Linked DNA regions of Schizosaccharomyces pombe. The protein of the gene in region 1 interacts with the protein of each later gene in a biochemical or structural test. Each region holds a gene or a part of one and is shown in the gene's direction. Other genes may lie near its edges. The genes, in order: tdh1 and rpb7.

Region 1 (16,392 bases):
CTATTAACTGAAGACAAGAAAAAATCACTAAAAAATATATAATTAACTCAAGTATAGAAAATAATTTCTTGTGTGCAATTTAAGCCTAACAAAGTATTCGATTGAAGATGTGCGAATTGTTTAAAGAAATTCAGTACAAAGAGTAGACGAAGGTTGTTTTTATTTTTTTTTACAAAAAATATAATAAATTAAATGAAACAGTTTGAAAAGAAAATTGCAGCGACTCCAGTTGTCCCTTAGAATAAGAACGATAGGAAATATGAGGCAGAGGTTAGTGTTTACACAGGCAGAGAAGAAGAAATGAATTGAATAAAGAGTTAGTTATGTGCATTACATTTTGATAATAGTTTTTGAAGAGGAAACATATTTTTAATTTTTAATTTAACGAACCTATCATTTTAATTGTTTCATTTGGCAAATGCATTGATACTATTTATTGTAAACAATAGGTAATGAAGCGTAAAATAAGTCATAACATGAACATTCATTTATGAATATTTTAATTATTGACCAATATGTTTATAATATTTTTTGATAAATTATGTTAGTAGCGTATTCCTTAAACACATAAATAAACATTGTCACGATTTAATTTTTAACAATTGTGATATATTTTGGAAATACTTAGCGATGTAGCAACCGTGTATTTACTTTGCATATTGCTGTTCCCATTTCGATTTGAAAATGGTGTTTGAAAGATAGTCGATTCTTCATAAATCCATTTTTCCTGCATTTGAGCTAAGGTAATAAATATTGCTTATACCATCAATTTGCTAATAAGGAACAATCTTAACGAAATATCCCTTGAATTAGTTTTGATAGTACTTGCTTTTAAATAACAATAAGAGACTTATTTCATTTACCATACTCGCGAAGTTTCTTCTTTATTAGAACTTCAAATGTAGTTTACTTTTATTTACGGTTTTGCAGTCATATATTTTTATTTTCGAACTGGAATATTTCTATGATGCTTAAAATTGTTAGTAAATTTTTTAGATTTTTGCTAAAGAGAACAGAAAATCGATTCTCATTTAAAATCTAACTACACATTTATGCAAAAATTGTACTTGATCAAAGTAATTAATTTAGCGTACTGCGTTACAGCCATCTAATAGTAATGGTTACCACGAAATGAGCAAATAACCAGTTAACCAGAACGTCAAACATACAGTTCTACTACTACATACATAAGCTTTGGGTTCCTTGACAGCGGTTGTTGCAAACTGAATTTTTTTGTTTTGGATTATATATAATATACAATCAATTGATCTTGTTTAGTCTTGATTCGTGTGTGTTTACTTGAGTGCTGCAGTAATATATTACTAAATTGTACGAATTTGGTCAAAGAGAATCCGCTTTTTTATCAGTTTTTTATTTTTAAAATTTAATTTTGAATTATACTCTTTACAAGGAACGGTAGCATCTTTATAAGAAATCGAGCATTCAATTTCTATGTGAAAAAGTTGAATTCGTCTAAGCAAACAACCAACTAGTTTTTAAATTCTAACATTAGAAAGAATATTTTTCCTTGTTAATTATTCTATTTACAATTTTAAAGTTGGCACATATCTTTTTTTGATTGGTTGATTCTTTGATATTTTAGCTGCACTTACTTCTTGGTATGAAGTGAAATTTTGCTTTTTAAAATAGACATTTTCCCATTCCCGTTTTCTAAAAGATTCCTTTTTTTTGTTTACTCCGAAAATTTCAATACCTTTCTTACAAGCTACAATCCCATTTTGTTCCTTCCTTTTGATATATTGAAGCCATTTCAATTGTTTCTATATTATTTCAAACAATTTTACAAATATTGTTTAAATTGTATAATTATCAAAGCGCAGTCGCTAGCTTGGTGGGTATTAAATTGTTACCTTTTCGTTTGCTACAGGTAACTTGTGAACATTTCTGGTGCTGAATTTTCCTACACCCAAAAACCATTGAAAAATACATTTTTTAAATCATATCGGAAAGCTTGAATACACGCTCTTCTGATAATCCGCTCGATACATAAAGGATTTCTTCTTGCATTTACCTGGTTTTTGGATTGTCAGTTCGCTATGGAACCTTCAACACCACCTATGCGAGGGTTGTGTACTCCATCTACCCCAGAGTCTCCTGGGAGTTTTAAAGGAGTCATCGATGCTTCGTTAGAAGGTAATTCTTCTATTATGATAGATGAAATCCCTGAAAGCGATTTACCAGCACCTCAAGTTAGCACATTTCCACCTACACCTGCTAAAACTCCCAAAAAGCAATTACTACCAAATTTAATGCTACAAGATCGGAGTAATTCTTTAGAAAGATGTATGGAAGAAGACAGAGAACACAATCCTTTTCTCAGTTCATCTGATAACCAGCTTTTGTCAAGAAAGAAGAGAAAGCCTACTCCTCCTCCTTCTGATGGTTTGTACTATGTTTTTCGGGGGAAAAGAATCAAGAAATCCTTCAGGCCTGGAACTGATTTATCTACTTTTAAGCCCAAACTCTTGTTTGCTGACTCGGCGCCTTCTTCTAGTTCAGATAACCCAACATCCTCTGTAGACCTTAATGACTATTCTCAAATTGGCATTCTCCCTCCAAACCTGAATTCTATTGGGAATAAAATGTTCTCGTTAAAATCAAGGGTTCCATCTTCCTCGTCAGGTTCCTTTGTTGCTCCCCCACCGCAAATGCGTTTACCTGCGTATTCATCACCACAAAAATCACGATCTAATACAAAAGATGAAAACAGGCACAATTTATTACGATAACTTTTTTTCGCATTTTGTAATTGTGTTTGATACCGTTTATATAAATGCCCAATCACGAAATACTCTTCTGCCTTATTCATGATAATCGTTCGTTTGAACTTTTGGTAGTAGATCAGAACCTCCTATTCTCTATTCTTGATGAAAATGCATTTTGACAAACGCTGGTCGTTAGTCATTCATGGTAATATCACCACAATATCACCACGATTTTCTTAATTGAGTATCTATAATTACATTTCCCCATCTTTCCATTTGTGCCTATTCATATTCCATTTGGCAACTTAATTTTTTATCGTCCTCCCGTGTCTGCCCTGAGCCATTGCAACTTTTTTTAGCAACCTTTTACGGCATGCTTTGAAATATTATACGTTTAACTTATTTCCTAATTTCATCCACTGAGCTTTTACTTTAAGACTTATACTAATATTACATGGCTTTCACAATTTTCTTTTCTTTGTTCAGAGAGTGAATATATTCTGAAATGTTGTATTTATCGATTAGTTAATAATGCTATTCGATTTCTAAATTTTTTGCTGGTTTGGAAACTATAGTCTGTTATTCTCAATAACTAGTTTTATATTCAATTGTTTTATCCCAGTAATAAAAAGGTATTTTTATACCGCATATACAATACTATTCTAGGCTTCTTAGACAGTTATACACATTACGGTATTGCTGTTACATTGAGTTAATTTGTGGTTTGGTGATATAGTGAAGTTTACTAGCTGGTACTGAAATCCTACAAATGGATAACAAAACTGGTTCTAAGCGTATGAAAGGAGTCTTTGGGTAAAATTATAGTGTAATATCGTTTCGTTCATTGAAGTAATAATTAGGCCTAACCGACTCTACTTGACTAACATTTTTTCTTCACACCATGAAGCATGATGAATAATGTATTTATTTATGTTACCTGAGCGGTAAGATGATTTGTTTACATAATGTCACTTTTATTTACATTTGCACTGCAAAATGACAACAAGGAAGCCACTTACATCACAGTGAAGTTCGTTAAAAATTCGTAACTCTTATATTTACATGGTACCCGTGTTTCTCCCCTCTACCATACTGAGCATATAAAATAACACAAAAGTTAGTGAATCATTTTGTGGCATATCCGAACACTCCTTAGCTTTTTACGAAGCAAAACAAGAAACGATTAATAATATCATCTATCTTTTATTGAAAGTCTAGAGTTTGCATAAGTCGAGGCTGTTTACTCATAGGAACACAACATGATCGAAACAATCCCAACGAAACCATATGAGGGCCAACGCCCTGGTACATCAGGTCTTCGCAAGAAGGTTACTGTCTTTGAGCAACCAAATTACGTTGAGAACTTTGTTCAAGCTACGATGGATGTAGTTGAACCATCTGCCAAAGGAGCCCATCTAGTTGTCGGTGGTGATGGACGTTATTTCAACTTTCATGCCATCCAAGTCATTGCTGCTATAGCTGCTGGCAATGGTGTTGAGAAGATCATTGTTGGTACAAATGGATATCTGTCTACTCCCGCCGCTAGTCACATTATTAGGAAGTACAAGCTAACCGGCGGTATCATTTTGACCGCTTCTCATAATGCCGGTGGTCCCAAGAACGATTTCGGTATTAAATATAACCTTGGCAATGGTGGACCAGCACCTGAATCTGTTACTGAGAAAATTTATTCCATTACTAAAACCATATCCGAATACAAAATGGTAAAGATTCCTCCCTTGGATTTAACGACGACCGGTGTCCGTAGATATGGCCCATTGACGGTTGAAGTCATCGACCCGGTCAAGGATTATGTTCAGTTGATGAAAGAAATCTTTGACTTTGATTTGATTCGCAGCTTCCTATCCAAAAACCCCGATTTTACATTTGTCTTTGATGCTTTACATGGTATCACTGGTCCCTACGGTGAGGCTCTTTTCTGTAAGGAACTCGGTATGCCTTCATCAGTTTGTCAGAATTGCAAACCTCTTCCCGACTTTGGTGGTGGTCATCCTGACCCTAACCTCACTTACGCCAAGAGTTTGGTGGCTCGTGTTGATCGGGATAACATTGTAATGGGAGCAGCATCTGATGGTGATGGTGATCGTAACATGATTTATGGTGCCAATGCATTCGTCACACCTAGTGACAGTGTAGCCATCATTGCCCATCATGCCGAATTAATTCCATACTTCCGTGATGGAGGTGTTCATGGGTTTGCTCGTTCAATGCCCACATCTGGCGCCATTGACAGAGTTGGCAAGTATAAGGGAAAGAATGTGTATGAGGTTCCTACTGGTTGGAAGTTCTTCTGCAACTTGTTTGATGCTAAGCGTTTATCCATCTGCGGTGAAGAGTCTTTTGGAACCGGTAGTGATCACATTCGAGAGAAGGATGGCGTTTGGGGAATCTTGTGTTGGTTGAACATTCTTGCTGGATTGAACGCGCAAAACCCCAAGATCAAGACGTTGATCGATGTTAAGAAAGATTTTTACAATATTTATGGCCGTACATTCTACAGTCGTTATGATTATGAAGAGTTGGAAAATGAAGCTGCCGGTAAGGTGATGGATAGAATGCGTGCCATTGCCGATGATAAGAGCAAGGTTGGAGAGGCAGTTTTGCCTGGTTTTGTCGTTTCTGAAGCCGGTGATTTTGAGTATCATGATCCCATTGATGGTAGCGAAAGCAAGCATCAAGGATTATACATCAAATTTGAGAATGGTAGTAGAATTGTGACACGTTTGTCCGGTACTGGATCCAGCGGAGCCACGTTACGACTCTACATGGAGAAGCACGAATCAGATTCGAGCAAGTTTGATCTTGATGCTCAAGTTGCATTGAAGCCAGTGGTTCATGCAGCTCTTGAAATCTTGGCTCTGGAGGAATTGACTGGTCGTAAGGAGCCAACTGTCATTACTTAAAGATAGTATATTTTATCATTGAATTTATGAGGTTTATTAGCTGAATTAAAAAACTACTAGCGTTTTAACGAATTATTTGCACTGAATTCATGAAAATCATGAGCAATAACGAATTACATTTTTTTTTACTAAACCCCTTGAGGGTTTTTCTTCTCTTCTTTTTTTTTAATAATACTTTGTATTACTAGGAGAAATGAATAAAAGCATTTTTACCATGAACCAACTCGATTGTTTAAAACTCAAATATGCATAGAGAGAGAGACAGACAGTAGGATAGAGGGATTTATTATTGGGTTTGCATAATGGAAAAATGATCATAAAGTAAACATTAGCTTGTAGAACGGTTGGGAATTAAACGGAAAAAGTTTATTTCTAAAACAAGTGAGAACTTGAATATAGATTTTAAAAGGAAAACATTTATAAATATTTTCTTAATGACTATGCTACATGAAAAGGAATCTGAGGAGTTGAAAAAGATACTTAATATGGAGTTGGGCATACCGAATGATGTATGAGAAGAGGAATGCTCAGTACCGTTTGTCCTAACGTAAAGTATTAATAAATAAATGTTGAATGCGCGCGATAAAAATTAAGATACAAATTATTTTTACAAATGCATATTCCTATACCATTCGAATGAATTTCAATCCAAATACCCATTTTCAATAGAGTGTGCGGCATACAAAAGGAAAGAGACACACTACAGCGGAGCGGTCAAGTAACATTCCAGCAATTGCTAGTCAAGAATTTGGAGAGTCGTCTTACGATGGGTATGGAAAGTAATGAGGAAAATGCGTTACCAGCCCTTTAGGCAAAAGTCTAGTCATTTTAGAAAAAAGAGTTTAAACTTTTTTATGCTTGTTTGCAAGCAATTGCAACAATTCGCTGAAGTGGAAAGATGGATCAGCGGGAATTGATGAAAAACGTGTTACTCGGTGCGGAATCGAGATATGAAATTGAGTAAGAGTAGAAAGGAATTGATCGAGAAACGGAAAAACTAAGGGAAAAGAAACATGCTAGAGTTAGAAAAGCTAAAACGTTAATTTGAATGGTGTTCAAAGACCGTGGTTTTAAAGATGTAAAAGCAATGGGTAATGGGTATGTAGGTAGTAGTAGGTAAGTGTGAGGATGCGTTAGTGAGTATGTAGAGAAGAAAAAAATCGAAAGAAAAGAAAAGAAAAATATAATAAGAAAAAATAAAAGAAATAAACCATCTGAGGCGAAATGAAGGCGCATAAGTCGGGTAGATGCGTATACACTAAAAGTGCGAGTAGAGACTAGTTTACTCAATACATCTACGCAAACAAAAAGTACTTGCGAACCAAGTGTATGGAAAGGAGGAGAAAAAAGAAGAAACGTTACAAAAAAGAAGATGAAAAAGAACGTATATAGTTATGAAAGTGCGGGAAGAAAAAAAAAGGCAAACAGCAGACATGGAAGGAAAGCGGGTTATTACACTTTATACTATTATAGATATTCTATTATACAGGTTAAATAAGTAAAAGAGTAGATGGGTGGTGGTGGAATGGGAGTGTTGTAAGTAAAGCGATATTGCCAAGTACGTTTGGAGACTGGAGCAAGTGATGTATCCTGAAACTGTTTCATTATAATGCATATTTTATTTGTATTGTGTATATGTATATGTATGTGTATGTTTTGCTTTCCTATCAAAACGAAGAAGAGCGGATTTTCGAGGCAAGGCCAAGAAGCGCTTTGCCGATTACGTGACAATCGTACACTATGTTATTGATACAATTTTGCTTATGATGCACCATTATGCCTAGAAAAAAATAGAAGCGACGACGAAATGCCGACGATGTAAACGAAGTGTTTGACAACAGCCACCTTGTTAAGAAGGTAGAGAAAAGAGAGGAAACAGAGTGGGAGCGAGAGAGAAAAAAGAGGAAAAAAAGAGAATGGGCAAAACACCGAGTGTTAATAATGGAAAATGGAAAATGGGAATGTACAAGGTTAGAAGAAAGTTGGAAACAAAAAAGTTGAAAAAAAAAAGTTGGAAATGCAAGTAGATTGTGAGTTGAGTCAATGTTTATTACGAGTCGATACTCAGTTTGAATCGATGCTCATTTGAGTCCCTGCTCGTTCGTTGGTTTTGGGAATGAAATGGCAAGTCAAAAAATTACGCACAAGGAGAATATGAGATTCGTAACGAATGTCTCTTTTCGCTAAAAGACAAGAACTATGGTGGAGTAAATTCCTCAATTCACATCATGGAGCTTACGTGGAGCAATGCAGTGTATTAGTACGAGTGGTGCACTGTACGTCGACATGCCATGTTTGAGCAAGTCAATGCTAGCGTTGAAATTGCCTGTGGATTGCATTGCATGTATATGCCACACTGTTGGCGTAGCGTGAAATGATGATGAATGTTGATGAGATGACGGGAGAATTCAATTAGTAAGGATGTTTTGGCAGATGTGAGAAGGTTTGGACGCTGTAAAGTATGGAAAATCAAAATTCCTGAATTTTTGTAAACTCCCATACAAATACGATTACACATACATACAAAAATGCAAATAACAAAATATACACGCACGCATGCACACTAAATAAACAAACTGTGCGTCCATTCCTTTTATGCACAAACGTTGAAGCTCAGGACATCGCACCAACAATCACTCATCTCTTCTCTCTCTACCCACTTTCCACCCACACCCACAGTCTGCATCTGTTTGACGACTGTAGCTCAAGCATCAGTAGCAGCCGCTGTCATCCTCAACTGCTGCTGCTGATGCTGCTTGAATGTACGCATGATAGCAACGACGCACCGCTCTACCACTACTACCGAAGCGCCATCATCACCTCCTCACCTACCATCGCAATCGTCCTCTCGAAACTCTTCGACCGCTTTCACCCGGCTTCCTGCAGGTAACAATGCGCTCGGCGCTTGATTAAAAGAGGCCAGAGGCGATAAATGACTCAGGGTGCATTTGGCCTCGCTACGAAAGGACCCTGTCTTGTGATTTTTCCGTAGCCAATGGACAACCGCCTTGTCAACCTTTTGACTTTGGAATGTGCTAGCAATTCCTCCTTCCCCCTGACTTCAGGTGACAAGGCTTGCATCACGCTGAGGTAGGCGTCGGAAAAACTTTCCTCACAAGGCTGACGTCATGGAATGTGCAATCAAAGTCAGGAGCGGGAACGAGGCAGATTACCAACGAAGCAACGACCATCTCGGAACAACTTGCAAAGAAAGTCAAGGAAAGTTGGCACCACATCACGATCGCGCACCTTCTCCAATCACCTTGCTCCTTAGTTGTTCCGAATCGAGTGCGAGGCAATTGTGGTAAAGATAGTCGGGGGAAACCCTTACCCCATTCACACCACGGCTGATGGCTGCTGTGTGGGATGGAAAGGTATAAATAGAGGCAGGCGGTGCCTAGCATCGCTTCTGTATAGATCATTCATCCATAGTATTGATTTACACTTGATTCAAAATGGCAATTCCTAAGGTTGGTATTAACGGTTTCGGTCGTATTGGACGTATTGTCCTCCGTAACGCTTTGGTCGCTAAGACCATCCAAGTCGTTGCTATCAACGATCCTTTTATCGATCTTGAATACATGGCCTACATGTTCAAGTACGACTCTACCCACGGTCGCTTCGATGGCTCCGTCGAGATCAAGGATGGTAAGCTCGTCATTGATGGCAATGCCATCGATGTCCACAACGAGCGTGACCCCGCCGACATCAAGTGGTCTACCTCTGGTGCTGACTACGTTATCGAGTCCACCGGTGTCTTCACCACTCAAGAGACTGCCTCTGCTCACTTGAAGGGTGGTGCCAAGCGTGTCATCATCTCTGCTCCTTCCAAGGACGCCCCCATGTACGTTGTCGGTGTCAACGAGGAGAAGTTCAACCCCTCTGAGAAGGTTATCTCCAACGCTTCTTGCACCACCAACTGTTTGGCTCCCCTTGCCAAGGTCATCAACGACACCTTCGGTATCGAGGAGGGTCTCATGACCACTGTCCACGCTACCACTGCCACCCAAAAGACCGTTGACGGTCCCTCCAAGAAGGACTGGCGTGGTGGTCGTGGCGCCAGCGCCAACATCATCCCCTCCTCCACTGGTGCCGCCAAGGCCGTCGGTAAGGTTATTCCCGCTCTTAACGGTAAGCTTACCGGTATGGCTTTCCGTGTCCCTACCCCCGATGTTTCCGTTGTTGACTTGACCGTCAAGTTGGCCAAGCCTACCAACTACGAGGACATCAAGGCCGCCATCAAGGCTGCCTCTGAGGGCCCCATGAAGGGTGTGTTGGGTTACACCGAGGACGCTGTTGTCTCCACTGACTTCTGCGGTGACAACCACTCCTCCATCTTCGATGCCTCTGCCGGTATCCAACTTTCTCCTCAATTCGTCAAGCTCGTCTCTTGGTACGATAACGAATGGGGTTACTCCCGCCGTGTCGTTGACTTGGTTGCCTACACTGCCGCCAAGGACAACTAACTAGCTAATCATCCCGATGCTAAGAAACGTCGGGTGGGTGCTTAAAGGCAATGCAGGAAAGTCTTTTGGAGTTGTTTTCCCCGTTTTTTCTTTATGTTAGACAAAGGAGTCGTTGTCGTTTGCAGTGCGGGAGTTTTCTTTTTTAGATTTTCGCATTTTTTTTGTGGACGCGCACTCTATGTGAATAAATAGATGGATGACTTTTTTACAAATTTCCTCTGTTCTTTGATACCCTCCTTCTCATTCATTGTTGCATATATTTTTTTTAATTTTGTTGCAGTGATGAGATGGCTGAGCGTTTGTTTTTGAACTTATAAATACTTATAAATAAATTTTATGATTTTGATAAATACTTTTTTTCGTTTTGGTTTGTGATACGTATAGTTTGCCTGTCTCCTTTTGTAAATGATCTTCTTTTGTAGTCTTGTGTAATCTCTTTTTCATTTGGTCAACTTAAGTGAATTTTTTTTTGTCAGTTTCCTTGTAGGATATTATGTCAAAGTCTTATTTATACTATATATTATTGCTTTGGTGGTGAGTCGCATTTGTGGGGACGGTGTTACTTTACTGATGGATTTAGGTAGGAGGCATCCACTGTCCCCCATTTCGCTAGCTTAAGTTTAATATGAAGATGCACTTAAGCATGAACGCCCGTTTTGATCTTTTTCACTTGTACCGCGAAGAGCTTGTTTTACTGTTTTTCCGTCTGCATCCCGAGAACTAGTTGATCTCCCAATGCACACTTTAGACTTTATTCAAACCGAAGTCGGTTTTGTAATTTAAAAATTTTTACCCACTGTAAAGTACAAACAATTCATCGCTATGTTAGTTGTGTACGCTACTAGCGCATCACATGATTACATGTTAATCAACAAAAACGAAAATGTTTATTGTCAATCTAAAAATACATATGTCCGTTAAGACAAAAGTATGAGGCTGGATGGAATGAGCAATGGTAGCAAAAGGTTTCCGAAATGGTCATATCATTTTTTCAATTTTTGCTGATCTCAAATACCTCAACTTGTTTTATTCATATAAATAATTTGTTTTTGCATATAATCATAATAATCAAATTCATTACCATCTTTAACACAACAAACTTGCATGATATTTATTCTTGTTTGCTCTTACATTCGGCATCCAACGATCATGGGTAACTTGATACCTGTGGCTTAAGGAGCTTGTAGCATGCCATGATTCTGCTGGCAGACACCAAATTTGAGGCAATGCCACGCGCACAAAAAGGCTTACTCTTGGTTGAATGTGACCCAACCGTTAAGCAATTGATTTTGAACATGGACGAACAGTCTCCTGGTATCGTTATCGAAGAGATCGATGAAGAACGATTGTTAGTAAATGAAAGTCGACTAGAACAGGTGAAAGCAGAGTTAGAACGACGCCTTGAGGAAAATACATATCAAGTTGAAGAGTAAGAAGAGATTAGTATGACGAAAGTTTTCTTTGGATGATGAACTGAATGTTTCAGTCGATGGACGAACCTAATATTGTACGATTAATGGATCATTCAATGTCAACGATCTATGATCATTTTCTCAATTTTAAATTGTAAAAAAATTTTAAAATAATGCAAAAAAGAAATTAATTCTACCTTTTATTTGGATATGGGTGAAAAGGTTGGTTTATTTTTTAATGACTTGACGTTTGTGTCAAATTACATAACAGTACCCAAAACTCGTGTACCGATGGGCAAAAATTATGAAAGGAGCCAGCTGATTTTGTATTTTTTGAAAATAAGTTTTGAATATATTGTTAACTACGCCGAGCTATTCAGTAGTTGCTTGCAAGTCTTTATTTAATTTTTAGTATTGAATGAAAGTTTATACTATTTGAATATACTATACTATCTATATAATTAATATGTATAATAAGAGAAATGTTCTTCTTTGTCTAACGATATTTTTATGCATTCCTAATTGAAACTTGGTGGTGTTTCTAGAAAGATAGTTCAGTTCATACGCGTGATAACTTTTTCAACACCGGGAACTGGAAGAACATACAACAAGGAAAAGGCATAGTTTCATGCTTGTCCTATAAACAAATGAACAAGGAAAAAGATCAATAAAGATCAATTTTGCATATTCTAAACCATAGTGCTGGGAGGTGTTTCGGTCGTGATACCTGTTCCACCAAGCGTGGAACTTGAAGTAAAAGCCTGACCTTTAATACCGGCAAAGGTGTAACATAAACCAGTAAGAGCGAGCACAATGCCGGTGGCAATAAGACTAGTAGCCATAAAGATGCAACTGAGAAAGGTTACCACGGAAAATATAAAATAGACAAGCTAAAAGAGTTAATAAACACTGTATGTAAAAGACAGCAGGAAGGCAACAAAGGAATTAAAAATATCCAGAGGCATGCTTTTTCCCCTGTGTGCCTTTCTTAAAAGAAACTATAACAACTTACACCACGGTAATAATTGCTAGCAAAAGCATTTGTAAAAGCCTGGAATTTGTCTGATACAGGGCAAATACGAGAAAGGAAAGGAAGCTCAATAAAAATTAATAGAACGCCCTCAATGATAGTCAAAGCTGAGAAAAGAACGACAAGGGTAACGTGAAAAAGGTTGACAATACCTAGGATAATGCAAACTGAAGGTAGTAGGTTAGCAGATCTGCCTTTTAATGTTAAATGTCAATGGACCATAATTTGTGTGCAGTGAAATGAGAAGTAATCTGATTCAATAAACTTGATTGTCTGCAAAATAAAAAAATTGAGGGACATATACATTCTCATCAAACCAAAAATACTTTTGAACACTCACTTGCTACACCTTAACTCTTTATGCTCATAAACTCTCTTCACAGCTATCAGAAAGTACAAAGCAATCAATACAAGAAGAAGAGAATATCACAAACATTAAAAAGAATAACCAAATTACGCGATTGAAATTCTTTACATACGAAAAATTGAGAGAATTCCAAGCCACTGTGCATAAATACTACAATAAGTTAGTAACATTTCGCTGTTAAAGCAACTGATTTCGCATACGAAAAATTGTAGCTTTTGAGCTCTCCCAAAAACGTTGTCTTTGCTCTGTCAACTATTATAGACTCAAACATGTTGAAAAGTGTAGTTCAGAAATCGTCTTTGTTCTGATGCTGGTTAGATGTCAGTTCATGTCAGTTTATGATGTTTAGCTCGTTGTTATTTGGCGAAGCGAAATTAGTATTTGTTATTCTTTTTAATAACAAAGTGGCACGCAGCGTCAGGGTAACCCAAGTAACAGTTCGAATATGTACTATAGTTAGCTAGGTAAACAAACAATAGCCAGTTGTAAACAATCATTTCATCCATATTTCCGAATATGTAAGCTTTTTAATAAGTTATACAATCTCTATAGTTAATACGAGACTAGAAGTACTAATGAATTTAAGTTTTCTTTAATTTAAAATCAACTGTAGCGACAAAATTTCCTTTCCAAGAATTCACATCACTATTTAAGTAATTTGTTGAAATAGTACATTCAAAAAAACCACAATTATGTTTGATAACGTTAAGCTACCATTTCTTACTGCTAACCAGCAATACAACAAAGGATTGCTTTCAAAGCATTATGCAATTATTTTTTCCCTTAATAATTACATATTATCCAAAGAGTACACATTGCAAAAGATAAAGCAGAAACATCATTGCCCATTTTCTTCTTTGTATGCTGTTCTCGCAACAAAAATCATATCACTGATGAATACAGAAGCAAATAGATGAAATTATTTCAATGATTGTTAATTAAGGACGATAAAATAGCTGCTCTCCATTTTTTTGCTTTTCATTAGCACTCCTGCTTATTTTTTGGGTTTCTTCTCAGCGGGTGTCAAATCTGTAATCATTGTGGTTCACTAGAGGACAGTTACTCTTTTTCCTTGTATCCAGTTTTTTTATCAACGGTATTTATGGATTTCTTATTTTCTCTCTTGCTCATCTTTTCTGAGTAGACACTAGGTTCACTTGTTTTAGAAAGCGGTTTCGCGCCTCTTCTCCATTCTGGAGCTTGAGTTTTAGGGAAATTATACTTAAAGTCTTTTTTAGAATCTATTGAAGAATAAGTTTTATCCAGATGTTTAACAGAATCCTTCGAGATACGCTTTTCGCCAACACTATCATAATCATGCTTTAAACTCTCCGCTTTATGATCATTCTTCTCCTTTTTCTTGTTAGAAAGTGGTCTTTCTAATTTTTCTTTTTCTAATTCTGAAATTGGAGGCCTATCGATCGATTTAGAAGTTGAAGCATCGTTACTCAATTGCAGTTTCTTCATTTGCTTCTCTAAGGAAGCGAAGTTTCCTCTTCCTGGTCTATATCTTTTGATATCTTCAGGTGCAGTATATCCTGGTTTAACAGCTCTTTCACGCCTCACGCTACCATCTTTTCGCCTGCTCTCTGGAATTATCCATTTGCCATCAACCAATCGTGCTCTAAATAAAAACTTTAGTCAACTTAATAAAAAATTTAATAAGCCATACCCTGAAAAACTTCCATTGGTTTCCATAAATTAGTATATACTCTACTAACACGCTGGAAGTTCAAGTTTGGTTTTCGAAGTACTTATACTATTCCTACCTAAGAATTACTTTTCACAACAACACAGTCCTGTCATTACGGTATTTACACTAAAAGGACTTTCTCGTTCTATATGTTATTCTTTATTTTATCTATTTAAAAAGTTATTATTTGTAGCATGCCATGTTACAAGACGAGTCTAGCAGATCGTTGCCTAGAAGCGCATTGATTCGGAGACGGCTTTCATTATTTTTACAGTCTCATGCATTGATGTATTCATTTCTATGGTCAGAATCTGCTAAAAAATCCCTTCTGAATGAAGTCTTTTCTGCGCTTCTCGGATATGACCATACCTTGTGGAATACATTGCTTCCAGAGAGACCAACCATCGATGCCTCCTTTCTTCTCCGTCGTGCTCAAGGACACAGTGAGGGAGATGAGTATCGTCATGGAACCTGTGAGTCAAAATGTGGCCATATATTTCGAAAGGGTGAAGTATTCTATCGATGCAAAACGTGTAGTGTTGATAGCAATTCAGCGCTGTGCGTGAAATGTTTTCGTGCAACTAGTCATAAGGATCATGAAACTTCGTTTACAGTTAGTGCCGGTAGCGGCGGTTGTTGTGATTGTGGTAATGCAGCTGCATGGATTGGGGATGTGAGTTGCAAAATACATTCACATGAAGAAGATGCTACGATTAGCAACGATATGATAGACGAAATTCCGGAAAAATTAGAAAACAGTATCCAAACAACAATTGATTGTGTTCTTGACTTCGTACTGGATGTTTTTTCCTGTAGTCCTGAAAATCTCAAAAAAATGCCCACCTTGGAATCGATTTTGCAGGATGAGAAAACTTCGCGTCTCAGTGAAAATAAATACGGCGATATTGATGATTCTTGCAATATGTATTCGTTAGTACTGTGGAATGATGAAAAACACTCCTTCAAGCAATTTTATGAACAAATTACTACTGCATTAGAATTGCCGAATAACGTTTTTGGAAAGAAAATGGCAAATATTATTAATGACATCGGTAGAGCTTGCATCGTTACTGAGACTAATATAAAAGAGCTTCTTAAAATTGGTCAAAAGCTTGCCCAGATCAATCTAGCTGTTTCAATTCGTTCTATGCGTGACATTTTTAGAGAAGAATCTTGTGCTGTTTTACTAGAATGGCTTGCTGATATAGCAGGAAGCAGTATTTGTGGGAAAAGAAATTATTTTAGCTCTGTTATATGCAAAGAACTTGTTCGACCTTGGAATTGCGGACTTCATAATTCTGATCTTACTTTTAGGCTCTCCCTTAGAAGTCTTGCTCTTCCTGAAATTGTGGCCATTGACAGTCCTGATATATTTTTGAATGAAGATCACATTAACTCGTCAGGTCCATCTGACACTTCTAGTCATATGCTAGAAACTGACGAGTCTTCTATTCATTCTAGACATTGGTATCCTTCTAATTCTCTTCCGGATGTCCTTTCGTATGCCTCCAGAGTAAGATTTGATTATTTTTTTCTTTACGATTTAAAACTTTGGAAGAGCTTGCGTTACAAATTACAGGAGTTGTACTTGGGATACTTTATCACTCAGCCTGGATTTAAGGAAATTATGGGAGCCAGGATTGCCATTTCTTATAGAAGGTTGGCAGAACTTTTTCTTCTGTTGGACCGTGAACCTGAACACTCAGTCATTTTTTTTTCAATGCAAATATTTACCGTGGCAGACGTTGCCAAACTGTTGGTTACAGAGTATGAT
Region 2 (12,398 bases), on another chromosome or scaffold:
GAACTCCCTATGGAGCTTTCTATGGCTGTCAATGCCTCATTAGGTGCTCTTTCTAAATATTATATTTATTGTACTGAGCCATTTCGTATACCACTCTCCGGTCATTTGGATATCTGTTGCTTTGATAAGACGGGTACCTTAACTGAAGAGCATATGGTTGTTCAAGGTATTGCTGGAGTTAATAGAAAGGATCCTTATAGTCTTGAAAAATTAAGCGATGCTTCTAACGATGCGATACTGGCAATTGCTACGGCACATACCTTAGTTTTGCTGGAACAAGAAGGTGAAACTCCCAAAGTCGTTGGTGACCCCATGGAAAAGGCTACGGTTGAAAACTTGGGTTGGTCTATTGAGAAAAAGAATTTTGTTTCAGCACCTGAAGGTTCTGTTTTTTATAAAGGTAAAGTTCAAATCATTCGAAACTTCCAATTTTCTTCAGCTTTAAAAAGACAGTCTTCTGTTTCCAACGTAAGAGTGTCTGGAGGAAGTTTTAAAACTTTTGTTTCGGTAAAAGGAGCCCCTGAAGTGATTGCTACTATGTTGCGGGAGGTCCCTAAGGATTATGAAAAAATTTATAAAGATTATGGTCGTAAAGGGTCTCGAGTACTCGCCCTAGGTTATAAATATTTTAAAAATTATATCCCTGAGAATCAAGTTTCTGATTTGAGCCGTGAATCTATTGAGTCTGACCTTGTATTTGCGGGATTCCTTATTTTTACTTCTCCTCTTAAAGAGGATGCTAGGCAAACTGTGCAAATGCTAAACAATTCTTCGCATCGTTGCATGATGATAACTGGTGACAATCCTCTGACCGCCGTATATGTAGCTGAACAAGTTGGTATTGTTGAAAAGCCAACCCTCGTATTGGATATTAAGCATGAGAATGAAAAGATTTTAGAGTGGAAGAGCACAGATGATACAATCAATTTACCCATGAATCCTCATAAATCGTTGGAAGCTTCGTTGTACGAAAAGTATGATCTTTGTATTACCGGTCGTGCTTTGTCTCAAATTATCAATCCGGACGTTATTATGTCAATTTTTACTCACGCTTGGGTTTATGCGCGTGTTTCTCCTTCTCAAAAAGAATTCATGATCTCAACTTTGAAACACAATGGATATATAACTCTTATGTGTGGTGATGGTACCAATGATGTGGGTGCTCTTAAACAAGCACACGTTGGTGTAGCTTTATTAAATGCTTCGGAAGAAGATATGCTTGAAATGCAAGAGAGAGCTCGTAATCAGAAGTTGATGGGCGTTTATGAAAAGCAAATTCAACTTGCTAAAAGATTTAATCTTCCAACTCCTCCTGTTCCACCTGCACTTTGCCATGCTTTCCCTCCTGGTCCTAACAACCCTCATCGTGAAAAGACTCAAGAAGGCTTAAATAAGGTCCTGGAAGATTTGGAAACTAAGAAAGCTAGTGATGTTCAATTAACGGAAGCTGAGAAAGCTGCTGAAAGACGGGCAAATCTGGCTAACAAGATGTTTGACACTTTAGCAAACGCTTCTGATGATGAGGCACCGAAACTTAAGCTAGGAGACGCTTCTGTTGCTGCACCATTTACTTCTAAATTAGCTGTAGTTTCTTCGATAACCAACATTGTGCGTCAAGGTCGTTGTACTTTAGTTGCCCTCGTTCAAATGCATAAGATTTTGGCTCTCAACTGTTTGATCACTGCTTACTCGTTGTCAGTACTTCATCTGGATGGAATTAAATTTGGTGATACTCAATACACTATTTCGGGAATGTTAATGTCTGTTTGTTTTTACTGTGTTTCACGGGCTCGTCCACTTGAAACTCTTTCAAAAGAAAGGCCTCAAGCTGGAATTTTTAACACTTACATAATTGGTTCTGTTTTAGGTCAGTTTGCTATTCATATCGTTACCCTTATCTATATAACTCGTGTCGTTTATCTGTATGAGGATCCTTTAGAAAAGGTGGATTTAGAAGAAACCTTCAAGCCTTCTTTGTTGAATACTGCCATTTATTTGCTTCAACTTATTCAACAAGTCTCAACGTTTGCTATCAATTATCAGGGCCGTCCTTTCCGTGAAGCTTTAAGTGAAAATAAAGGAATGTACTATGGCCTTTTGGGCATTGCCTTTGTCGCTATTGCTGGTGTAACTGAGTTTTCGCCTGAACTCAACGCAAAACTTCAGTTAGTTAAAATGGCTTATAATTTCCAGATACAACTGTTAGCCACAATGGTTGTAGATTACGCGGCTTGTTGGATTATTGAAGAGCTTATGAAAAAATACTTCCGTGACAACAAGCCGAAGGAAATTGTTCTTCGTAATTAAGAACAATTATATAAGTGGGTTACACCTACTTATCTGTACAAGCTTAGATAAATATTCATTTGAACAAACTGATGAGTAATTGCATTACTCACTGATGGGCAAGGATGTCAATTTTCTTCGGTCAGTATACAATATTTATCACCATTTTCAATTTGATTACTTGTTATGAATATTTTACATAGACTCAATGATTGATTCATTCTTGGCATATTTGATTTATTAATTTGGAATAGTGTAAGTGAGCTTTTTATAGGACGTAATAGATGCTTATTAGAGATAAAATAATATTCACTTGTTAAAATCCTTCTCAGTAGCAAGGTGAAAGGCATATAAAATTTGGGATATTTCTATAAGCGCTATCCCATGATACTGGGACTTCGTAAATCCTCGAACGCTCAGCATATATCAAGCAATTGCGAAAACCGCTGAAAAATTGGGATAATTTAATTTAATAAAAAGAGCTAAGCTCATTTAAAGTTTTTTTTTTTAATGTTCATCATTTTTGCCCTATTTTGAACCAAAATTTTACAGTTTTAATACGCATCGACCGATCGAGTTGAATTGGGGCTTTTCTGCATTAACTTATCGATACAATGCCTTTCTTCCTCAAAGAGCTTTCGTTAACGATTTCTCTGCATCCCAGTTACTTCGGTCCTAGAATGCAGGACTATTTAAAGGCAAAATTGTTGGCGGACGTGGAAGGCACATGCTCAGGTCAATATGGCTATATAATTTGCGTTTTGGACAGTAATACTATAGATATTGATAAAGGGAGGGTAGTTCCTGGGCAAGGGTTTGCCGAATTTGAGGTAAAGTATCGTGCAGTGTTATGGAGACCATTTCGTGGGGAAGTGGTCGATGCAATTGTTACAACAGTAAATAAAATGGGATTCTTCGCAAATATAGGACCATTAAATGTCTTTGTCTCATCTCATTTGGTGCCTCCAGATATGAAGTTTGACCCTACTGCAAACCCTCCTAATTATTCTGGTGAGGATCAAGTTATTGAAAAGGGGTCGAATGTCAGACTTAAGATTGTCGGTACAAGGACTGATGCAACCGAAATTGTAAGTTTCCCAATAGTTCACAATATTTATTTTGCTTAATTAATCGTGTTACTAACATAATATCTAGTTTGCCATTGCAACAATGAAAGAGGATTATCTAGGCGTTCTTTAAAAAGATAAAATTTTAATTTGTCTTTTATTTCTCATGTTCATTAATTCAATGCTAACCATCGCGTATACTGTTATTATTAAGTTCCTTTCTAGGTCTCAAAGTTTATTCATGTAGTTGTAAAAGCGCATACCAACGTTTATCGATCTAAATTTTGGCTCTATTCTGTGGTAATGTTATGGCTAAAAGCTGCGCAATATCTTTAAAAAAAAATTTTAACTTTATATACCCTTTACACAACAATAGAATTTCCCTAATTATTGTATATAATCGCAATATCAATCGACGATTTCCTTATGAATACAATCTTGGGCTAGCATTTTATCTATTAGGAGTGCATAAGTCTTTATCGTTCTTCGGTAAATAGAAAACCATGAAAATATTCAAATACCTTATAATCAAAGTATGCATTTAACATAATGATAATATATTACTCAAATAAGTCAGAATGCGAAAACCGAATTGTAATAAAGAACTAATAAATAACAGAATGGAAAGTCACTTTGCCTTCTCGTGATGAATTCCTTTAAAACCACGGCTTATTCCTTTTCGCATTTTGTTCGTAAGGTTAGCCACCGAGGCAACCCCATCAACAGCAACATTACCTACAGTACTAATGCCTTTAAGAGGCATACCAACAATCGAAGCAGTCTGTCCAAGAATTCCTTCGACAAGAGAAGAATTTCCGGCGCGTTTGGAACGAAGGACCCATTTTGGGCTCAGAGTTATACGAAGATAAAGAACTCCTTGTTTGCTATCCAAAGGAATTTCATAGTTAGTCTGTTGTTGCTGTTGAAGAAGCTTGCAGTCGATTACACAAGAGCCCAAATGATCGTCCTTGTTACCAAAATCCCAATCAAAAACATTAGCAACAAAATTACAGGTTTGCTTGCAAGGAAGTTCGACCTCGAAACTTTCATTAAAAGTAGGATTTAACGTCCGCTTGTGCGTTTTAGTCCGGTACACTTCTTCTCCTTGCAACTCGAAAACAACGAAAGGATCAGACTTTCCATTGGAATCTGCGGCAGGGAGATCCGTGGCTTTTATGACATCGACGGTCATTTCTCCCATATTTTCGTACATTTCAACTTCCTCAAGTTTCACAGGAACAGGAGTTAGCCTAAAAGCGACCAAAATCGAAGCACCATCAGGAAATGCAATTTCCAGAGGTTTAGTAGCGCCTTTACTAATTAAATCGCGACTCAGCATAGTTTTGCTACCAACCTCCTTATCACCATCTAGCAGCTTGAAAGTACATTGAGAATATTCAAGTTGTCTGATGAAAGTATTGCCGTACTCATGCAGGGTAGCACCACCGGTGACGTTTAAGGCAGATGATAAGAAAATATGATGAGGTAAATCGTCTAAAAATATAGCTAACTCTTGGGCTGGCTTAGCTATTTTATACGAAATTATGTCGAAACCCATGAAGCCAGATTCAAAGTCTAAAGCTGCATTTACAGCTTCAGACGGCATAAGCAGTTCTGAAATCTTCTTTGGTTTTGAGGTTTTAACAGACGTAGACCCTCGAGAAGTTGAAGTGTTGTCGACTGCTGTAGGCGTTTTTTGGCTTTCCGGAAGCACTTCGATATTTACTTTATCAGTTGCAACAGTTGATGAAGCTTTAGGAGCGGGTGTCACATCAGGGCTGAGCGAGGTTGTGACAGCGGATGGGAAAAAGTCACATTTGAAAGTTATTGTTGCATTACCCTTTATACCCCGGGTAGAGGACAAAGGTACAGTTAGTTCTCGAGGGTCATGGTATTCCATTAAAGCACCATTTTCGCCTTGATTGATAAAATTTGATATGTTGATAGGGGTCTGTCCAATGAGTTTGTCTTCACCAGATGAATTGTAATTCATCACTTGTAAAAAGAAGATGTCATGTTTGGTAATTACGGGTGCATACATGTATTCATCCCAAAACGGATTTACATTGCTAGCAATGACCACTGTCCTAAACTGTTTCGTATTGTGGGACATGATGCGTGCGTAAGAATCACATTTTTTACCAGGAATCTTAGAGTGCAAATTATTCGCCGAACGTAAATGGATACGAATTGCACCGATGGGAGTAGCAAGAGCCATCGAAGAAATACTGTCGTTATTTAACTGAGCAGGTTTCCACATAACAGACATACGTACTCTACCGGATGGAGCATGTTGTAATGGAAACCATAAAAGACCCGTCTTAGTAGCAGCAAACAAGTCCTGCAAAGATACATTAGCGGTCCCAAAAGGATGCTCTGATTCCTCCGTGAATATTTGAACACCCAGAGTAGCATTCTTCCCTTCTGGAAGAAGAGTACCAAAGGATTCTTCCCATGATGGATTATTGTTTTTCTTAATCTTTCTGGTCGTATAGACTTCTTTATTGTTAATAATCAATTTGGCATAAGCGGTAGGTCGTTTCGATGGATCATTGCTAAGCTCTTTGCATTGATGCACAGTAAATTGCAGAACACCAGGGCCATCGACTTTAGTAATTTCTTCGCCAGAATCAGGCACAACTGCATGGAATTTCATGTCATAATTTAAACGACCAACAGTCTTGCCTTTTAAAGTCAATTCTACAAACGCATCATTTGTCACAGGCATAGCTTCCAGAGTAGCTAATGGTAGTACAGCACTGCCCAGAAGTTTGTCACTTCGAATATCGTTAAAATCATATACCTCCAAATTCAGGTTCTCTGAAAACGAATTCAAAACGGAATAAAAAGTTTCGTTGAATACCGGCGAACCAGTGTTGTGAGCCACTTTAGATTTACCAATAACACGATCCGCTGAATTTTTTATAACAACATATGGATCAACAGCTCCACCTAAACCGTCTTTAAAACCATCTCCCTTGCGTAACTTAAATTCTACGGCTCCGAGAGCAGTATTTAAGCCAGCGGCACCCATCATAGATTCGATATCCAGCTCATACACATTGGGACTGTACATCATTGGGCCCAACGTGTTATGTATCTGTTCGGTGATAAACGTAGTAAGACCCGGAATGTTGCCAATATCAAAACCAAACTTATCACCTCCGAGAGGTTTAAGAATGTAAGAGAAAACAGGTTTCTCGGTAAAAGTCAAACCGACAGTCTTGGCATACGGGTATTTATCAATAAGCTTTACTTTAACACGAAGGTTACCAGTGAAGGAAAGGTCCTCAATTAAAACAGGCATTTTAGCTGAAGCAATACTTTTTCCTATTTTCAAATCAAGAGCAATCTTAGGTTTGATGCAAGCAGCAATCTCACGACCCGTTAAGTCACTAATATCATTTGGACTAAATGCTAATCTCAAATCCATCATAACAGTGTCTTCCTCTGTTTTAGGGTAACTACGGATAAATCCCATTCTCGGTGATTTGGTTCCCAGAGTAAATTCGGAGAGAGCCATGGAGTCAATAAAGCTGGGGACATTTTCTGAAAGAATCTGATCCGTAATTTCCGTTATTCTCTCACTTAAAGAAGGTTCAAAAATATACCAAAATTGTTGTAAAAAGGTGTTTAGCCAAGTGACAGTTTCGCTATCATTTTCTAATTTTCGTGTAGAAAGATATCTCGTATAGTCGTCTTTGAAATTGACTTTAACACGTCGATCGCAAATTCGGTAGTACTGGATACAAACAGCCATAATAATGAAAAGACTCAAAAATCCGAAGCGCAAATAACCAAACAAAAATGACATGACTGCCGTATACAAAACAAGCCTTGAATCCTGGAAATGTTGCATAAAGAGAATTTTAAGCTCAATGCATAATTGTAAACGTTCATCAGTCAGCCAAGGACAGTATTGTGCCAAAATGTTCCTAACCTTTTGGTGCCTTTGAATGAATTGCATCGCATCCCTTTTCCTTAATTCCCTCTCGCTAACAGGACGAGTGGGCACTCCATCAACGTCTGATTTCTCTTCAGATGATTTGGGTGCTTGCATTTGTTTAGGGACCTTTAAGTCTCTAGCACCTGAGCCACGGGCTCCAGTATCATCCTGTACTTGAACCTCAGAAACTCCAGCTGATTGTGGGTTTAAGTTATTCTTGTCTGATGGTGAAGCTTCTTGTTCCTTAACTTTCACCTTAACACCACCACCAGCTGTATCAGTAGGAAGATGCATTTTTTCAACCTTTTCATTCGGGTCGGCATTGCTAGCACCCTTAGAGGGCTCAGCCTGCGAAGACATTGTTTCTGCTTAAACAATCAAAATAAGGTGTAGTTTCTGCTTTATATAAATAACTGGTTAATCCGATAACCAAAAAATAAATAGTTTCCGTAATTAATAAATATTGCTAGACCAAAAGAGAACGAATAGTCAAAAAAAAAAAGGTCTTATCACTGCTTGGTTCGTGACAGATGTTGGAGATTAAAGTCACAGTGTATAACTGGCTGTCATAATGAATCAAGAGTACACCAATATCTGGCCAGTTTTACTTTCCCTTAAGATTCCTTAAAATAAGTTGGAGTTTTTGGCGCTACACAGAACGGCGTTTAAATTCAGTAACAGGATTTAGCATAACAAATAGGGCGCCCTTGTTAAGTTATATAATCGGTCTCATATTGAAACACTGTAGAATAATAGTAGTGTCGAAAGCGGATTGAAAACTAAATATGAAACGACTTCCTTGCGATTTTCATAATTATAGGTGTATTTTACACAAGAAACGTTTATCTACAGGATTGCCGAGTATTTTATAAAGGTTTAAGTTTATTAATTCACATTTTTTTAGCTAATCAACGCTACAAAATTAACGCAAGGCTAAAAATCCTCAACACAGCTGATTAAGAATCGAGTTTTTAAATAACCTGTATTAAATAGTAAAAACCAAAACTATATACTTTAAAGGCGGTCATAATATTCAGTGTAGTCGGGAACATTTTCCTTAAGACCCTTACGCTTACGAGCTTCGCAAACAATTTGACCAGGTTTAGAAGTAGGATCCAATGGATCACCAGACATGGGAGACCAATGGTCAAATACCAATTGAGGGAAAGCTTGACCAGCAGTAGCTTGACGAAGTTCACCAGTGAAACCGAAAGACTCGTTGACGGGAAGGTAAGCCTTGATGTTGTACAAGGGAGTACCAACACGTTGCTCCTCAGAAAAGACATGACCACGCTTCTTGTTAAGGACAGAGTAAATACCACCCATAGCGTTTTCGGAAACTTGGATTTCGACCAAGAAAACGGGCTCCTGGATGATGGGAGAAGCCAAAAGGGTAGAAGCGTAGACGACACGACGAGCAGTAGGAATAATTTGACCACCACCACGGTGAATAGCATCAGCGTGCAAAACAACATCAAGAATGTTGAAACGGCAAGAACGCAAGTTCTCCTCAAACATGGGACCCTCCTTGGAAGCCCAGGCAAAAGCAGCAACAACGGAATCCTTGATTTCGTTTAAGTAAGCAACAGCCTTGGTTTGATCAACAACAACATTGGCACCAGTGGTGTCAGGACCGAAACACCAAATCTTACGAGCATCAGTGACATCCCATCCAAACTCGTCAGCCATGATACGAGCACGAACCTTGAAATCATCACGAGGATTGACGTGACCAGTCTCAATGGCGACAGAGAGTTCTTCACTCATGGGCTCAGCAGTCATGAAGATACGGTTGTGCTTGTTGGGAGACTTAGAGAGAGCAGTCATGCTAGAGGGCTCGCTAACGGACTCACGGTAAGAAACGACGGGAGGAGAAATCTTAAGAGGGATACCAGCATGGTCTTCTTGCAAATCCTTCAAGCAAATCTCCAAGTGGAGCTCACCAGCACCAGCAACAATGTGTTCACCAGATTCACTGGTGGTACACAAAACACAAGGGTCGGATTTGGAAAGACGCTTAAGACCTTCAACAAGTTTAGGCAAATCATTACCGTTCTTAACCTCAACAGCGACTTGGACGACTGGGGAGACGGAAAACTTCATAACCTTCATGTTGTGGGCAACTTCGGAAGTGGTCAAAGTACCAGATTTGACCAAAAATTGATCAACACCGACCAAACCAATAATGTTACCAGCAGGACAATCCTCAATAGGCTCAATTCTGGAACCCATCATAAGGACGGTACGTTGGATAGCCTTGATGAAGAGATCGTCCTTCTTACCGGGAACATAGTTAGGGCCTTGAATGCGGACCTTCAAACCAGAACGGACAGTACCGGAGAAGACACGACCAAAAGCATAGAAACGACCACGATCAGATGTGGGAACCATCTTAGAAACGTAGATCATAAGAGGAGCATTGGCATCACAGTTACGGATACCAACAGCACACTCGTCGTCCATGGGACCTTCATACAAAGTCTCAGCACGATATTGTTGAGCAGTCTTAGGAGAAGGAAGATGAAGGACAATCATTTCCATAAGGGCATCAGCAGCAGGCAAGAACTTGCGCATAACGACCTTCAAGAGAGCCTTACCCTCAAGCTCCTTCTCATCGGGCTTGATGGTAACCTCGAGCTTACTCAAAAGAGTGAAGACCTCGTCTTTGCGGCTGTTCATAACAGCATCGAAAATACGATAAATGGGATCCAAGATGAACATGTTGAAAGCACGTTGGTTAGAGTTACCGTTAGCATCGGTAGCAGACTTGGACCATTTCTTGGTCTTAGGGTTGAAGTAGTTTTCACCCCAAAGACGTTGCATCATCTTGTTACGGTCAATACCAAACTTCTTAGCATAACGGTTGGCAAATTGACGGACAGTGAAAGCCCAACCATGAAGACCGGAAGCAAAAGCTACAGTACCCTTGTCAGGGAAAACTTGGCAGTCGCCAAGGACCTTGTCGTAATAAGTAGAAATAACGACGTTAACAGATTCAACGACACGAGCAAAATTTTGATAAAGCTCTTCTTGAGAAATTTGAAGTTCGAGCAAAGCACGGTCAACTTTGTTAACAACAACAACTGGTCTAATACGTTCACCCAAAGCTTGACGGAGCACAGTCTCGGTTTGGACACAGACACCCTCAATGGTATCAACAACGACCAAAGCACCGTCAGTGACACGAAGAGCGGCAGTAACCTCAGAAGAAAAGTCAACGTGACCGGGAGAGTCAATCAAGTTAACCAAGAAGTCAGTACCATCAGCAGGCTCCTTCATATCCTTCATATCATCGTCAGTCATTTCAGCAAACAAGGAAATGGCAGTAGACTTGATGGTAACACCACGCTCTTGTTCGTCAGCACGAGTATCCATGAAACGAGCATCACCAGCCTTGGCAGCAGAAATAATACCGGCCTTTTGAACCAAAGAATCAGTCAACGTAGACTTGCCGTGATCGACGTGAGCAATCACAGACATGTTACGGACATTGGATGGTTTTCCCATCAAATTACGGACCTCTTCAGGAGTGAACGCAACCATTTTTTAGAGATTTTTAAATGTCAGTGGCGGACGAAACAATTTCAAACACACCAAGTCAAATTGATATTATAGTCTGAAACCCTAACCCTGTGTTTTTTGCGATTTATTGCGTTGCAGTATTTTAATCGTCGTTATAATAATGCATTAAGTGAAATTTAAATTAAAAGAAAATACCTATTTGAGAATTAGAGAGGGATTACATGACTAGGAAGGTTGAGTTTTAAAGTCATTCTCTCTTATTTCAAGTTTTTGTTTAGTGGGTAATTGTGCTTTTCTGGCTTAAAAATAATCTTTGTTGTACAAACTGCTTTGGATCTTTTATTAAAGATTGGTGATTTTCGAATAAGTAATTTTTAAATACATTTATTATTCTGCTTTCTGTGACAATGTACCAAGGATTAAAACATCTTGACACAGCAAATCTAAATACTAAAAGTACCTAATTTTTGAAGTCTAAGGCTGTGCTCAGGGCCTAAGATTAATGGTTTCATTTAGAAAAATTTAATGACAGTTGAATATTTGTTAAATTCAATGAAATTTTATTCACCGATTAACTTGCCTTACAAAGACTTCATACCAAATGATGTTGAAAAAAATGGTTCAAGCTAGTAAATCCAAATCAATTGAAAGATTCTGCTTTTAGAAAGGCGTAAAAAGGCTTCTTCTAAGGTACCCAGCTTCACCCTATACTAATTTTAGTAAATTACTTGCGTGAGCCTTCATAATAAATACTAGGAAATTCACTTACATAATGCATAATTATTTAATTGAAAGCTTAAATTCATATTCCAGTAGCATATTATATACAAATATACAAGCATTCTTCCTCTTGGAAATTGAGGATACTCTATAATAGCGAAAGAAACCTGTCAGGCATAACAGAGTATAATCCCATACTGTGTGGTAATTAAAACAATAATATTTTACAAATATTGATCAATTACTAAAAAAATTAAATAAAATAAAATTTGGAACGTGAGGTTATTAGCCTTCCTAAAACAAAACTAAGGTTGTTATATTAGCGAAGACTTTAAAGCTTCGCTAGTTAGTTTAAGTACTGAATATATTAGATGTCATTAAAAAGTTACAAAGGAAAACAGTTTCTTTATTTCTCCTAGATATAGTGAATAATTGAATATACATAGCACTAAGGATTGCTATACAATCATATGAAAATTTTCGGGTTCGAAGATGTTCTGTTAAATACAGCATAGCATCATTCTTACGTTAAAACATGAAATGACATGCCAAAACGTAAACGACAGATTCCGGATTTGGTAATTGAAGAAGCAAACTATCTCGATAGTGTCATACTCCTTATTCGGTATTTATTCTTTTCATAGCTCTGTCTCTGCCTTATATTTGTAGGGCCTTCCTGCACTTTATGATCAGTACTTTCAATACTTGTAACACTACAATACCCTCAATTGCCAGCAGCGTTATTTTGTAAGTTCCTTCTAATAATAAAAAAAAGCATTTTACTCTTATAATGGCATCTAAAGGAATCGATAAAACCATTTATTTTGTTCGACATGGTCAAGTTTCTCATGATGTTG

The links.
Region 2: the proteins of tdh1 (region 1) and rpb7 form a complex in vitro, tested with the Schizosaccharomyces pombe proteins (one study listed by BioGRID).

Annotation. Positions count from the first base shown.
Region 1 is NC_003423.3:2,798,532-2,814,923, forward strand, and holds tdh1 (glyceraldehyde-3-phosphate dehydrogenase Tdh1), read left to right. Parts: upstream 1-9,063; 5' UTR 9,064-9,105; coding exon 9,106-10,116; 3' UTR 10,117-10,520; downstream 10,521-16,392. Other genes in the region: CDK inhibitor Rum1, read left to right, coding at 2,058-2,750; pgm1 (phosphoglucomutase), read left to right, coding at 3,986-5,650; transcription factor TFIIH complex subunit Tfb5, read left to right, coding at 11,343-11,549; SPOM_SPBC32F12.12C (golgi membrane protein involved in vesicle-mediated transport), read right to left, coding at 12,218-12,418, 12,541-12,725, 13,038-13,075, 13,126-13,196; protein mni1, read right to left, coding at 13,985-14,549, 14,598-14,623; N-end-recognizing protein, UBR ubiquitin-protein ligase E3 Ubr1, read left to right, coding at 14,818-16,392.
Region 2 is NC_003424.3:2,899,388-2,911,785, forward strand, and holds rpb7 (DNA-directed RNA polymerase complex II subunit Rpb7), read left to right. Parts: upstream 1-2,696; 5' UTR 2,697-2,900; coding exon 2,901-3,374; exon of another isoform or gene 3,375-3,441; coding exon 3,442-3,486; 3' UTR 3,487-3,746; downstream 3,747-12,398. Other genes in the region: P-type calcium transport ATPase Cta4, read left to right, coding at 1-2,307; tcb3 (tricalbin), read right to left, coding at 3,982-7,659; translation elongation factor 2 eft201, read right to left, coding at 8,314-10,842; SPOM_SPAC513.02 (phosphoglycerate mutase/6-phosphofructo-2-kinase family), read left to right, coding at 12,332-12,398.